Diceros bicornis minor: one gene and its partner. The main gene of each other region encodes a partner of the protein of the gene in region 2 in a complex. Links are inferred from orthologs where the notes say so. Each region holds a gene or a part of one and is shown on either strand. Other genes may lie near its edges.

The links. Proteins that work in one complex are often made in the same cells at the same time.
Region 1: the proteins of KPNB1 (region 2) and PTHLH are in contact, whole or in part, in a crystal structure (PDB 1M5N), measured with the Homo sapiens proteins. The link is inferred for Diceros bicornis minor from reciprocal best matches to the Homo sapiens genes KPNB1 and PTHLH. Residues at the interface, in NP_002256.2 of Homo sapiens: Val55, Tyr104, Pro106, Gln111, Glu152, Tyr156, Gln159, Asn196, Leu199, Asn200, Gln239, Glu274, Gln278, Glu281, Asp288, Ile295, Ser298, Glu299, Asp339, Asp340, Trp342, Val350, Met353, Glu395, Trp430, Arg434, Glu437, Asn469, Trp472; in NP_945316.1 of Homo sapiens: Tyr103, Thr105, Gln106, Glu107, Thr108, Asn109, Lys110, Val111, Glu112, Thr113, Tyr114, Lys120, Thr121, Pro122, Gly123, Lys124, Lys125, Lys126, Lys127, Lys129.

What each region holds. Positions count from the first base shown.
Region 1 is NC_080756.1:35,145,606-35,153,134, reverse strand, and holds the start of PTHLH (parathyroid hormone-related protein), read right to left. Parts: upstream 3,015-7,529; 5' UTR 2,739-3,014; intron 2,638-2,738; exon of another isoform or gene 2,392-2,637; intron 2,219-2,391; 5' UTR 2,197-2,218; coding exon 2,096-2,196; intron 1-2,095. UniProt on the Homo sapiens protein: Neuroendocrine peptide which is a critical regulator of cellular and organ growth, development, migration, differentiation and survival and of epithelial calcium ion transport.
Region 2 is NC_080757.1:38,184,683-38,192,014, reverse strand, and holds the start of KPNB1 (importin subunit beta-1), read left to right. Parts: upstream 1-4,324; 5' UTR 4,325-4,644; coding exon 4,645-4,684; intron 4,685-4,786; coding exon 4,787-4,845; intron 4,846-6,980; coding exon 6,981-7,163; intron 7,164-7,332.

The DNA of each region.
Region 1 (7,529 bases), on a different chromosome or scaffold from region 2:
AAGATTCACAATCTATATTGCCTCCTTTGCCTGGCTTAGGAAATGTTATTGTTGTGGTAGTTTCCTCTCCCTTAAAAGTTGGCCCCTAGTTAGAAAAACATCTAAAGCAGTTTCTCTAATACTTGGTGTGAAAAGTAATTGGGGAGTAATATGGTTTGATTGCTAAAATTTCAAGAAACTAGGTTGATTTAGTGTTAACAGTAGACTAATGTTTTGTCTAGCACACAAAATTTACTGTTACTTGGCAGCAATGCAAAAATAATGACTTGTTTTTTTAAACTCCATTTGGCTGTAATAATTTGATGAAACATCTTCATCTACTGATGATTTCAGCCTCCATGAAAAACCATGGCAGTAATGTGATGATCTATTAGCCATTAACTATAAGAATGTTTTGTGGTAGTTTTATAACCATCTGCTGAGTGTGAGTGTTTAACTACAATATTATATTTTACCCACAAACAAAACTATAACAGAGTCTCTGGCTGCTAAATGGTTTCTGATGTGTATTTTGCAAGGTGCAACAAAGAAAGAGTTAAAAATAGCCTTTAGGACAATTTAACGCTATTTTTATGCCATAACTATGGATTTAATCATGGTCCATTTACTGTTTCTCAAAAGAGAAAACAGGTATTTCTTAAGCAACTTTAAAGAAAAAATTGGATCTGTTCCAAAACAGTATTTCTTGGCCAGTATTTAAGTGTGCTTTTAAAAATTCAGTCTTCATCTATATTTCTATATGGATTTTAAATAATTGAATTTAATACAAGCCTCAAAATGAGCAAAAAAGTCTGAAGACAACTTTCAGAAATATATCAGCAAAACGCTGATTTGAAGAATACAATGCAGCTTTATCTTCAGTACAATGTTCTACACAATTTGCCTTAGGAGATTCATAATAGATTTTCATTTTCGTGCCAAGGTTCAGACATGTCTCAAGTAATTTCATTTAAGGATTTTCTGCTCTAATAATAATAGACCAAGGGCACATATAAAACAGTTGCCTTTTTGTACACCCTCAAGAATTTACAAGGAAGCACCATACACTTGATTGTAAATATTAGATATTGCTACTATTATTGTTAGTGTAAAAGTTCTCTGTAGTTCCTTCTCAGAGGCAAATTCTCAGTTCTCAAACTTTATGGTTTTCCCACCCTGAACACTGAGTCCGCAGCTTAAAGATCACTCAAAGACGGTATTACACACATTAATGAACTGCTAGGTCCAACAGATTATTAAGATGGTGTTACTCTATCACTCTTCCAACTTTTCAATCATACAACATAGTGATATTTCTCTAGCGTGCGTGGATGTACGGTGACTTTCAAGTCAAAATTCTCCTTAAAAGAAACACCTAATGAGAATGCAAAAATACAAGTTTTCAGTCTACAATGCAAATATTTGACTCTAGATTAAAGAACTGTTAGCAATAATTCCAAGAAAAAAAAAAACTTTCCACACCTAATATTCATTTTGGAATCCAGCGCTCTAGCGTTCCTGAACTGTATCAATACTAACGTTGGAGTCGAGCCATTGCAAAGTTGTTACTACTTTATTATATAATATGCCTTCGTTATGTAATGTGGTGCATTTTATATGCTTAAAATTATGTCATTCATAATAAAATTAGATGTAAGGTTTTTGCTTCTCACACACAAACTGCCACCCACATTCAGTACGTATACAAGCGCACACAGACATATGTCCCCTAGGTCTCTTAGCTTCCTCCGAGTTATCTAAATCTCTCGTAATCCTCAGAGTTTCAAAACCTTCCCAGGTCCTGAAAATAACCTTTTCTTTTTTTCATTAGAGGCAGAAGATCTTTGCCTAGAGGAGATTCTGTAAAACGCTCCCTCTTATGGAAACACATAAAATTTGTCTCCTGCCTGTCTCCCCTCGAGGTTCAACCAGTTCTCCCGCCTGGTTTGAGGATCCGGGCTCAGCTCCCCGCAGGTAGCTGGATCTCTCCGCTCTTTAACCCGGGCGAGGAGCATCAGTGACCGCTGGGAGCCCTCGGCAGCGCCCCAGCCTGGCGGCCTCTCCCACTAGCCTCCCCAGCCCTCACCCGGCGTCCCGGGGAGGACGGGGCACTTACAGCCGGCGGCCGAGCTCCTCCACCGAGCGCCCGCAGGAGGGCACCGAGTAGCTCAGCAGGAACACCGCGACGCTCCACTGCTGAACCAGCCTCCGCAGCATCGTATCCTCTCGCTCTCGGGACCTGCAACAGTGGAAAGGGGGCCGAAATGTCAGTCCGGAATCTCCATCTCCCCGCACTACCCCGCTCCCCCTTTTCGCCTGCTTTCAAATAGCCTCTTCAACATCAAAGGCATCTCCCAAGTTGCAAAGAAGAAAAAACAAAAGAAACTTTCTCTGGAGCCTCTCAGCACTTACTTATTTAGGAACCAGCTACTCCAACTGTGCCTTTTCCAAACCACACAGGCAAAAAGGGACCAAAAAGGGGGAAAAAAATTAGAGGCGCTTCCTCTGAAATAATAACCAAAATGAAATGGTTTTATATATGCATCAATGGTGAGCAGCGTATTTACACGTCTCCCATAGCAATGTTTAATTAATCTGGCGAGCAGGCAGTTCTCCTGGGTTCGTGGAGCAAGGCTAACTCCCTCCTTAAAAAAGAAGCAAGTTCCCCCCGTGAAGTCAGCTTCTTTGCGAACTAGGCCGTCTTCCTGCAGAGCCACTTGTAGCGAGACCCACATATATATACATAGCTGTCTGTCTACCTCCTCTGGTGGGCTGGTTGCTTCCGGAAAGTTGATTCCACACACCCTGAGAACAAGTTTCAAGTGCGTGTGTCGTCGATCAGGAGGGCCAGGTGGCAGGGAGGGCGGGTTAAGAGCGGCGCGGAGGGGCGGCGGCGGCCGGAGCGGCAGGGCAGCGGCGGCCCCGCTTCACGGGCGGGGAGGCATGCTGGCCGATCGGCGCAGGTTGGAGGCGAGTTGCAAGTCGAGCAGAGGAATGTTCACACGCTCCCAGGCAAACCTGCCGGAGAAGTGAGCGAGTCGCAAAGAGGTGGCGCCCTAGGAACGCGCGCGGGGCGAGCGAGGGCGCGGGCGCGCGGGGGGCGGGGGCGGCGACGGGCGGCCAGAGCGAGCGAAGGGGAGCCCCGGGCTGGGAATGTTCCACGAGCGGCGGAACTCCCCCCCCCCCCCGCACTGCCGCCCCCGGCCCTGTTCAGAGCTCCGCCGAGCCCCACCCCAGACCTTTGGCCCGGTCGCGCCATCCCCGGGCCGGGGGCGTGGGCAGATCCGCTCGTTCCCGCCGGGTCCCGCCGGCCCGGGACTGCGCGGCGGATCTGCTAGCCGAGGTCCCCAGGGCGTGCGGACGGCCCCGGGCAGCCACGGCCACCGGCGCGCCGCAGCAGCCGCGCCCGGCCGGACGCGCGGGCGCCGAGGCCGAGGCCAAGGAGCCGCAGCCGGAGAGCGCGGGCTCCCGGGACCCTCGGCGGCGAGGTCGCCGGCCTTTGGCCCTTCGCTTTAAGAAGCCCTAAGCCCGCCTGGGAGCTCGGGGAGCGAGACGGGAACCCTTCTCCCTGGCCTTTTCCTGGGACGAGCTGAGCGGGGAGCGTTGGCTAGGGAGGGGGAGATCCTTCGCTTAGAAGAGTAAAAACGGTTTCAGAGCTCAGTTCGAGATTGCATTTTTTGCTGTCTCAGAACAGCTGAGGACATCTGGAGCCCGTCCAATAAACCCGCGCACATGTTGGAGACCCCCTTTTGAACTGCCGACGGGGACCGACACTCCTGGAGAGCGCACACGGCCCTTTTGCCCACCGACAGGAGTCTAACCCACCCTTTCCCCATAACCTACTCGGTCCCCCCCGCCCCCCCCCCCAAGTCCCCTGTTACATTTTCTGGGATGACTCTATCCGTGTCGCTTCAGCCTGCAGAGGCAGCGGAACTAGAGCTGTACGCTGCTCTGCCTCGGAGAAGCGAAGGGAAAGCAGGGGGTTCTTCCCAGAGCTCTTGGGCGGGGAAGAAAGACTGCTCTGATTTACTGGGCAGTATCATTCAGGAAAGGATTGCAGCGGATGTGAGCGCCCGCCCAACCGGCTCCTCTATCTTTCTGAAATGAATGCGGGTGGTTGGGAAGCATTCAAGGGATGTTTGTCTTCTAGATAGACAATCCTACTGGTAGGTTTCAAAACTCTCTAGGCTAGTGTGATTTAGAGATCTGAGATGCTTAAGGGAGCCTGACCTTTATCAAGCCTGGCTTTCTGGCTGATGCTTCACGGATTTTACCAAGGGTGGGTGAAAGAGCGCCCCCTCCCCGACCCTCGCTCATCTGGGCTCCCTTTTCCCCTCGTTAACTACAGCTAGTTAGCTAGCAGTTAACGTTTGCTGTTTAGTTTGGGTGGGCGTCACCCCTTCTCAGACGCTCCTATCTCCCTCATTTGATTACTTTAAACTCCATACTTAAAAAAAAATTGGCTTCCTCCTACTAAAAAAAAACCTGGGAATTTCCACAACTTCCCTTGAACGTTTAAGAATTTCTAAATGTTAGACCTGTTTGCATGGCATGAAAAGACAAAGTATCAGCTCTCAGAAATGTCAACGTTTGAACCTCTAACACTTTCTGATTTATAATAAATTCTTTCCCAAAAGACGCAGGAGCCTTAATGTAATCATTAGATTTGAAGGAGGAAATCTGTAAAAAAAATAAATCACAAATGAGCCATTTAATACTTGCAAGTTGTTTAACATTAAAATGATAATATTTGCCTCCACAATAAAAAACCCAAAGGTACTTAGCCAAGTTTCAAACTGCCCAGGCTTTAAAAAGTTAACCCTCCCCCAATAAAAGGTTAAAACAAAAAGCAGATTGAAAATCTTAAATCACTTACGCTGTAAATAAATTCATTATACTCTCAGAACATTGTAAATTAAAGACTGGCATCAATACAGTGCTTTGATTTATGTTGCTTTTTCTACTAATTAAACAAAATTGACCCCCCTCTCCCTCCCTCCTTTCTCCCCCCCCCCCCACTTTTCTGGTGTTAATGGCAAAACATCTATCAAATATTTTTAGAATTTCCTCTCCTCCACAAAAAGAGAAAATATAGACACAGGAAAAATAAATAGTCTTTATATACTTGGAGTACCAAAGTTTCCTCATAATTTATTACTTCACCTTTTCCTTGATTTACAGTGTTCTCTGCTCTTCTGGCCAAAGGAGGGAGATCTTCTCCGCAGTCTCTTCCAGAAATAATTATTTTTGTGTTCTTCAAAAAGTAAAATTAAGTCTTCAATGAATTAAAAACTTCCTGTAAAAAGCCTTTTCTCTTCCCACCAAAGGCAATTATTAGAAAGCAGGTACTTCTTTTAAGCTGCCCTGTTTATTACTTTCAGTAGAAATCGTCCTCAATATATACCCAGGACCCTGACTTTTTTGCCTTCCTGAAAAGGATATTTTCAGACATCATAATCTAGTTCCCAATATAACTGAGTAACCTCGGTGATAATGCTGAGGACACATGACTAGCAAATGAGATGACTCCACACTAGGAGGCTTGTTTTTTTTTTTCTAGGCTTATGACTAGAACAAGTGCCAATAGAGGCCAAATGTTTGCTTAGGCCTTGCTATCACATAAATGCACCTTAGCAAATAGGAGGATTTGAAGGCCTGTCTTTAATCTGAAGTATTTCCATGTGAAGACAGCTTCACAGTGTGAGATCTACACCTACACAAATGCCTAGCCCATGAGCAAGCCTCAGACTTCCATCTTCCCATCCCCAATGGCGGCATTATATTCCAATTTTAAAATGAGATTTCTAAATTTTTAAGTGCACTTTTAAATTCATGTTTAAATTCCAGTATATCTCCAGGGATCTCTCTTCTTGCAATTTAGGGGGGAAAAAAAAAAAACTCTAGCATTTATATTTAGCTTCTTTATCTTTCTCCCTTTTTTCCTCCTCAGACCAAACAACAAGCAAACAAATAAACACACAAACCAAAAAAGTACCCATAGCTCTTTAAACAGTGCACCTGGGCTCAGAAATTCTCTTATTACCAATAAGCATTCAGATTTAACCAATTTTGCCAATCTGTAGCTCCAAGCTATATCTCTAAAATCCTATGACACCAAACAGCTAAACTCATCTCTTCTCTTCTCCAAACTTTTTCTTTGTTTACATAGAGAAGTTTGCATAATTAACTCAAGGAAAGTTATCATTTGATTCCATCAGAACATGGTTCACACCACTTGCCTAGACAGAGACTTGAGGAGACTGTTGCCAGCTGACCTCAAGGTAGCAAAAAAAGGGATGTAATGCCTTTAAATCCCTAGTAGGGGTAGGAAAGTGTGTGCTTCATTATTCAATATCTTTGTAGTTAGATGAAGATAAGACTCAAGCAGGAGCTGTCTTCTCCAGGAGCAAGACTAGTTGCTGACCTCCGGAGGAACTGCCTCTGGGAGGAAAAATGGGTCTCACACCATCCTCATCCTTCCCTACTTCCTGGGCAATGCTCAGCTTTCCCCAGACAGGACCAGAAAGTCCAGCAGTGAGGCAGTTTTCCCCTGAAGTCTCAAGCCAATGTGAGATGAGAAGGTCTCTAGGAAGTGGGGGTCTCTAGGGACCAGCTATCCAAGGTTAAGCACTTGTGTTCCTCCCAAACCCATAACCATCAAAACACCTTTGAGGAGGAGTCTTCTGGCTAGGGATGGAGTGTGTGTGTGTGTGTGTGTGTGTGTGTATGTGAGCGAGAGACAGAGAGAGAGGGTGAGAGAGAATGGATGTGTAGCACGCAGGTCCTGATCTCCCGGACTGATGCCCGCCGGATACCCTTGGCTGGGCCGAGTTCCTGGCTCCGTGAAGCAGGCAGCTCTGGACTTGTACGAGACCACAGGGAGAGTTCCAAGTCCCACCTGGTTCAGACGACAACCCCTCAACCTGAAACGGATCTCAGGCGGTGCCACACAGCCTTCCTGGCCGGGGCCCAGCTCTGCTGTGAGGAGAATCTTCCTTTCTTTAAAATTTGAGCCCTGCTGTCTGGAAGGCACTGCTCCTGGGAGTCGCCGGGACCTTGGAAGCAGTTGACCTGCCTAACACCATTTTCCACCCCTGCAAAACATGGGGTCTCTCCCCAAGGCAGCCCCCAGACTAGGGTGTCCATCCTTTCAAGCAGAAAGACATCTAGACACCCACACGTAGACTGGGCGTCGTGACTACCGCGCTTTGAGCTTGTGATTACGGTGTTTTAGGGCCCTGCCTGCCCTTCCTGGGAGTTTTCTCAGAAATAAGTCCGCGGGAAAGCAAACGTGCGAGCTGCGTGCTGCCTCTCTGGGGTCTCCTGGGCTGATTCCTGCGCGCCCGACGCGGGAGGGGGAGGCGTGTCTTCCAGGGTCTAGGAAGAGGCCTGAAGACGACTGGACGATCCTTATCAGCCCCCCGCCTCCCACCACTGACTTGGGTCGCCCGTTGCGGATACGATCCCAGAGGAGGACGCAGTTGGCTGCCGGAGATCTCAGGCTTGATAGAAAGTTCAGAGGCCTGGGAGCCCCTTGGCGGGTGTAGCTA
Region 2 (7,332 bases):
AAGTTGCATTTTAGTGGGGGTAAGAACAGACAGCAAAAAAAAAAAAAAAAAAAAGATAATTTCAGGTACTGAGAGGTTTTCTGAAGATAATCAAATAGGGTCCCGTCCCAAAGACTATCTGTGGAAACCACCTTAGATGGGGTGGTCAGGGAAGGCCTCTCTGAGGAAGTGACATCTGAACTGAGACAGTACTAATGGGAAGGAAGAGCGAATGCCAAGGTCCTGAGACTCATACATCATGGTGTCTTCAAGGAACAGAAAGAATGCTGGAGCCTAGTGAGCGAAGGGAAGGGCGGGGGAGACGAGAAAATTGTTTGATGATAATAGTATTTCTGCTTCTGGGGGTTGAAGTTGAAAGAGCAACGTCTCGGCTGCTTTTCTGCGAATGCTCTCTCTTCTCTAAGTTATTTGGGAGAAGCGTGGGAAGTCAGGAAAACGGCAACGAAGTTTGCCCCATTACCAAGCAGAGGGGCACTTAGTCCTCCAGATGTCGCCTTCACCTCCATTCTTCCTCAACGCTAATGAGGCCAAAGTTTGACCCGTCTCAGGTGGGTCAGCTCTGCGCAGGAGGAAAGGGCATCAGGTCACAGCCCGACTGCTTCTCCCCTCGCAGCCAGTCTTCTCACACGTATGTGCTGCAGGTCATGGGGGGACTGGGTGCTTCACAGATCCTGGCGAGTGTCTCCCGGCACGAGACACTTGTCCCGAGCGCTTCAGAGAGGCTCCTGTGTATGCTCAGACCACCCAAGGTGCGGCCCAGATTCTCCCATCTCACAGACCCAAAAGCTTACGTGACTTGTTCAGGATCATACAGCAGGAAATGGTAGAGTAAGAATGAAACCCAGTTTTTCTTTTTAATTTCATAATTCGTTCATTGGACATGAATATTCCTGCCACTCAAAAAGTTATAGAGAAAACACATTAAAACCTGTGTACTCCATACACAGCTCAAGAAACACTTGTACCTCTCCCCACTCTACTAAACCAGGTGGCTTCCAGTTCCTCCTACTTGGGAAACACTGCAAATGGGATCACCATCCATTCCACAGTGCAAGCCAGAGATCCAGCAGGCACCAGTGACACCTCCCTCTTCTTCCAGTCAGTTACCAAGTTCAATTAATTTTGCTATCTATTTCCACTATTACTTCTTCCCTTCTCCTTTCTCCAAGTATCATCTCTTACCTGGACTATTGCAATGGCCTACTAACTGGTCTCCCTGCACCTACTCTTCCCTCTTTCCAGGCTAATCTCCACATTATAACCACCAACATTCTTAACACCTTTGAATAGCTGCCCTTTGCTCTTAAGATATAGACAAAATCATCTGCATGGCATGCAAGATCTCACATGGTCTTTTTCCTACTCAACACTCTAGCTTTACCTCATTCCCTTGTTCTCTGTGCTTTGGAGGTACTGGCCCTCTTGCAGTTCCTTATAATCCCCAAGCTCCCTCCCACCACAGGGCTTTTGCACATGCTATTCCTCCCTTCTCCACCTGAATAAGTCTCTTCTCTTTCTCAAGTAAGCTTTCCCTGAGTGTCCTGAGTCATTCTTTGGCATTTGGCATTTTTACAACTTTACATTTGTTTGAGAATTTTTTTTTTTGTGAGGAGATCAGCCCTGTGCTAACATCTGCCAATCCTCCTCTTTTTTTGCCGAGGAAGACTGGCCCTGGGCTAACATCCGTGCCCATCTTCCTCCACTTTATATGGGATGCTGCCACAGCATGGCTTGCCAAGCGGTGCGTCGGTGCGCGCCCAGGATCCGAACCGGCGAACCCTGGGCTGCTGCAGTGGAGCGCGCACACTTAACCGCTTGCGCCACCGGGCCAGCCCCAACATTTGTTTGAGATTAATTGATTAAAGTCTTTCTTCTCTAACAGGCCAAGGACCAAGAACCACTCACTTAGTACAAAATACATGCTAAATACATAATAGCCAACATATATAAACATGCCAAGCAGTGTTCCTAGCCCTTAACATGTATTAACTCACTTAAGACTTTCCAAAAGCGTACACGAAATAGGTACAATTATTAGCTGCATTTTAGCAAAGTCAGTCACACAAGCTAAGAAGAGGCAGAGCTGGGATATGAACTCGGGCGGACAGTTTCTGGAGTCTGTGTGCTCAATACCTTTTGGTGCCTCACTAGCATCTGCTGAGTGCAGGCTAGTGTTGAGTGCTTTGGACAGGGACTAGCCAGCATCATCAGGAACCTTAGTTCAACTAAAAACTCATTTCACTTGGGTTTTGGGAAGGATCTTTTGTTTGACTGGAACTTTGCTGCAAAACATTTATCTTCCCAGCATTTTATTTCAGCTACTTTAAAAATCCATTTGCCCTCACTGGTATATCATGACTGATGTCGAGTAGAGGGGGTGGCTCAGCACACCGGTGAGAGCAGGAGAAAGCTGGCTTGGAGTGAGACAAAACTCTGGATCATTTGTAGCATGGGTAATCCGCATAAGGGCAGTTCAAGATTTTCATGGAGGTCATCTCACTTAACCTTCATTGATTCCTAACAAAGTTACACACAGGGCCGTTCTTCCTCAGTTAACAGATGAAGCCAAAGGCCGGGTTAGGAGGACGGCTAAGCCACAGGAAATCCGCTAGTCACAGAATGAGGTGAGGAATGGTGTCCCCACACTTCCAGCATCACAACTGCAAAGATATCTCTAGCAGAGAAAGACCTCTTCTTTCTCTTTTAAGGTTAAAGGTAGCTGGCCAAGCTTTTTTTTTTCTTTTTTCTCCCCAAAGCCCCAGTACACAGTTGTCTTAGTTGTAGGTCCTTCTAATTCTTCTACGTGGGACGCTGCCTCAGCACGGCTTGATGAGCGGTGAGTATGTCTGTGCCCAGGATCCGAACTGGCGAACACCCGGGTCGCCGAAGTGGAACGCGGGAACCCAACCGCTATGCCACAGTACCCGCCCCAAGCTTTTCTAATTCTTGGGTGGAATCTCTCAGAGAGGACGGAGTTCCTCCCAGGTATTCCCAGTATGACTAGAGTAGGGCAATTATTCCACAAGCTCAAGCTATTTGGTAAAGAGCTCTATAAGCTATATCCAATTACCCCGAGATCAATACAATGAAAATGTAGTAATTCAGGACATTCTTCACGGGGAGTCCATGTACCAATGTCAGGGAAGTCAAACTGTATGCACATTTTCTTTATGTGCATTCTGCTAAGGAAAGGCTTTCATTAGTTTCTTCCAGGGCTTAGAACTAAATAAGGCTAAGAACCACGATCCTTTATGCCTGTACACACATTCCTGCTGGCTCACGGTTGTGCCTTGATTAGAGGCACCTTCGCAGGATGAAACATTTATATTCCTTTAAGTACCTGGTAGCTATGGATGGGGCGTCTAAGAGAAATCCAAATGCCCATCCCACGTGAGTTAGGCCTTAAAACAGCACAAGCCTCAAACCCTATAAATAGATCTAAAAGATCTGCATGCGCATTCTCCTCCTTGGAAAGGAAGCTGCGTGTAAGGCCAAGGGCAGTCAGGAGCGCTTGAATCCAGTCCAGACCAGGCCACTAACCCGCTGTGTAACCTTGGACAAGTTGCATACCCTCTCTGGGCTTCAGTTTCCACATCTGCAAATAGAAAGTTGAACCGCATGGTCTTCAAAGTCCTTCCCAGCCGAGAGCCTGGTACCAAGGAGGCCTAACCATTAAAGCAGCTTCCTGTGGGCGCGGTGCAGGGCTTTAACGGTCCCCCCTCCCCCGCTCGGGCCCGCGAAATCCTCTTCAACACGCCCCTCGGAGTGACGGCGCTTCCCCAACCGCAGCCCGCACACGGCTCCGCCCCTTCCCGGAGGCGTCCCGTCGTGCCCCGCGCCGGGCTCCGAAAGCGGCGGGGCACCTCCCGCCTTCCCGCGGCCGCGACCCCGAACTCCTCTCCCCAGTTCTCCCGGGCGCCCTATCCCATCAACGTCTAGGATCCCAGCCAATCACGCGGGCCCAGAGTCTTGCCTTCGGTCCACCCTCCTCCCAGCGCGCAGCCGGTCGGAGCTCAAGGCCTTTACCAGGCCAACCCAATCAGCGGCCGGCTCTCGCCTGCCCCACCCCGACCTCTCTCCCCTCGACCAATCCGCACGCCCCATTCCGCTGCCCGCCCAGCTAACCCGGGCCTTGAAACTGGCGGGCAAATCGGTGCATGGCGGCCCTTCAACGCTGCCCACCCGGCCAATTGGGGATTCCGCGTGGCCAGGGCGGCAGCCAATCGGCGAGGAGCGCGGTGCCGCCGCGGAGAGGCCCGGCCCGAATATCCCTCCGCCTTCCTCCCTCCTCTCTCTCCCTCCCTGCGAGCCGCCGTTCACTTATCGCCTCCCTTCCTTCTTTCTCCCTCCGCCGCCCGAGCACCAGCCGCGCTCCTAGCTGCCCCCGGGGTCCCTCCCCCGCCGCCCGAGGAGCAGCTGCCATCGCCGCCAGCAGCAAAATAGGAGGGAGGAAGGAAGGCCAGGAGGAAGGCAGGGGAGCCGGAGCGACCACCAAGAGGGAGCCGGTGAATGGGCTTGTGGTGACCCCCGCCCCCCACCCCACCCTCCCTTCCCACCCGACCCCCAACCCCCATCCCCAGTGAGAGCCGCCGCCCGAGAGGCCGGGCCGTCGTCTTAGGAGGAGCCGCTGCCACCTTCTCCGCCATGGAGCTGATCACCATCCTCGAGAAGACCGTGTCCCCCGGTAGGACGTGGGGGCCGGGGGTCGCGCCGAGGTGACCGGGTGGGGGAAGAGGGACCCCCGGCCCTTCTGACCCTGTCCCCTTTCCCACTTTCCTTCCCCCAGATCGGCTGGAACTGGAAGCGGCGCAGAAGTTCCTGGAGCGTGCGGCCGTGGAGAACCTGGTGCGTGCCGGCCGCCGTCCCCATCCCGCCGTCTCCCATCCTTGCGTGCGGGCCTTCCCGCCCTCCCGGAGGCCCAGGCCTCGGGAACCCACCCCGCCCCATCCCGTCCCCCTCCCCCCGCCCGGTCCAACCTAACCCCGCCATCGGGAAGCCGGTGGGTGTGTCCCGCCCCGGGCCCCGCAGTGGGCCAATGGCGCGGCGCGCCGGGGTGACCGCCGCCCAATCGCCGCGCGGCCTGAGGGCGGCGGTGCAGCGCGAGGGAGAAAGAGGGAGGGAAGGGAAGTTAGGTTGCGCGGCGCTGCGTGTTCAGCAAGGGTGGGGGTGGGGGAGCCGGGCCTAGGGGCCATGTGGAAGCTCGGAGCCCGGCTGCCCGCCTGGTCTCATCCGGGCCGGCTTCTCTCTCCTGTCCCGTGGCCCATGTGATTTTAGATTCTCTCCACCTACTTCCCAGAGCGCTACGCTTTCCTATATCCCTTGGTCTGTGCTCAGGACCAGGCCTGGCACCCAAATGCCCGTTCCGGCAGTATTTCTTCGTTTCCTGCCTGGTTATTCCTCTCCTGGGGTGTTTTTTTTTACATCAATTGAGTGGAGACTTAATCTGTACCCAGACAACCCGCTGAGGCTCATCCTTGAGATCGGGCCTGTGTCCAGATGAAATCACAGAGGAAAGTTCCTCGTTTTTCGTATTTTCAAATTTAAGGGCTACAGACAAAAAATGAAGATAAGTCCACTAGAGACTGGATCTCGAAATAAAAATGTGGGATGGATTGGTTGAAACAGCCTGTGTACCAGTAATGTTTCTCTTTGGTGTCCCTCTCCTGTTGGGGGGGATGGGGAGCAGAGGGAAGGGTGGATGATACTTGACATCTTTTAAAAAGTATTAGGTAATAAATCTAAATAACACTAATTAAACGTGGTCCCTTGTGTTATCTGGGCAAAGTAATGTAAACAAAAAAAGTGACGAGGCTTATTTTATACAAACTGCCTTTAATCATTTTTTTCCCCCCTCATATGTGCTAGTTTTTAGTACTAATCTTTTTATCCTTGACTTTCTGTAGAAAAGATATTTTGCACTAGTGTAGACTGATAACATTTCCATTTAGGGTATATTCTTGTTTCTACTTTTGCTAATATGCAAGAAGGCTTTTATCTTGTTCCTAACATCTTATTCCTAACATTCTTTAGTGGTACATAATTAATAAAACTTTTAAGAATTATCTTCTGCTGTGATTGCGGAACTTGTTAGTGGTAAGAAAGTACCTGCTTTTGGTTTTTCCTGTTAACTTTTCCATTTGCACAGAGCTTTCTGCGGGTAAGAGGAGAGTGTGTTACAATTTTTAAACAAAGGGAGTAGTTTTGGGGACCCGTGCATTACAAAAGATTAAGGATGCTTTTCAGGAATCCAGTATGTTTAGTGGATAACTCAGGTACAAAATGTATAGGAGGTTGTAGCGTATTAACTGTTGACTATTAAATATAAAATTATTTTCCTTGACATTTTTAACTTTTCAATGTTCCCCTATTCCTAAATATTTATGTTTTTCCTTGTAAATCTGCTTTTTTCATTGTTCCCCTTTTACTGAACACTTAGAACTAAAATAGAACTAACCTCCGAAGTCCATGTTTTAGGTTTATAAGTATTTCCCTCTCTTTTACAAGGTTACCTGCTTCCATGAGATCAAAATCCACCTTGAGTATCATTCTTTTTGGACTAAGATTTTTTAAATTTAGAAAAACAATTTTACTTTCTACCCTGTCATGACATGTTCATTCATTTAACAAATATTTATTGAGTACTAGGCACTGTTGTAAGTACAGAGAAGAATCCTCTCACTACCACATTGTCAAATTTGCTTTAGTACTGAGGGATCTAATGTGAAGATCTGATGTTGGTAGGAAAATCTCTAACTCTTTGTTAAATGCTGAGGCTGCATGAGAACATGGATGACTTCTTTATATACCAAGTAACATTTTTATAAGAGTTTTGAAGTAGATATTTTGACATTTTCTGAGACGTTATGATATGTTCTAAAAAATTTAGATTTTCTCCAGTGTTTTGGTGCTCTGTAATTCATTCTCAATTGGTGAAATTCCTAAGAGAGATTTTCATTCACAAATGCATCTTCTCTTAACAGCCCACTTTCCTTGTGGAACTGTCCAGAGTGCTGGCAAATCCAGGAAACAGTCAGGTTGCCAGAGTTGCAGCTGGTCTACAAATCAAGAACTCTTTGACATCTAAAGATCCAGATATCAAGGCACAGTATCAGCAGAGGTGGCTTGCTATTGATGCTAATGCTCGACGGGAAGTCAAGAATTATGTAAGTGACTTTCATCTCATTCTGGTCATATTAGCCTAGGGAACAAGAAACATCTTTGTCAGTTTTTTGTCATTTAAATGGGATAGAGCTGACAGTGTAATAGGTTTCTGGGACCTAAACTTCACTTGAAGATAGAAATCGTATTTGATTTAAATCTTCTTTCTCAGTT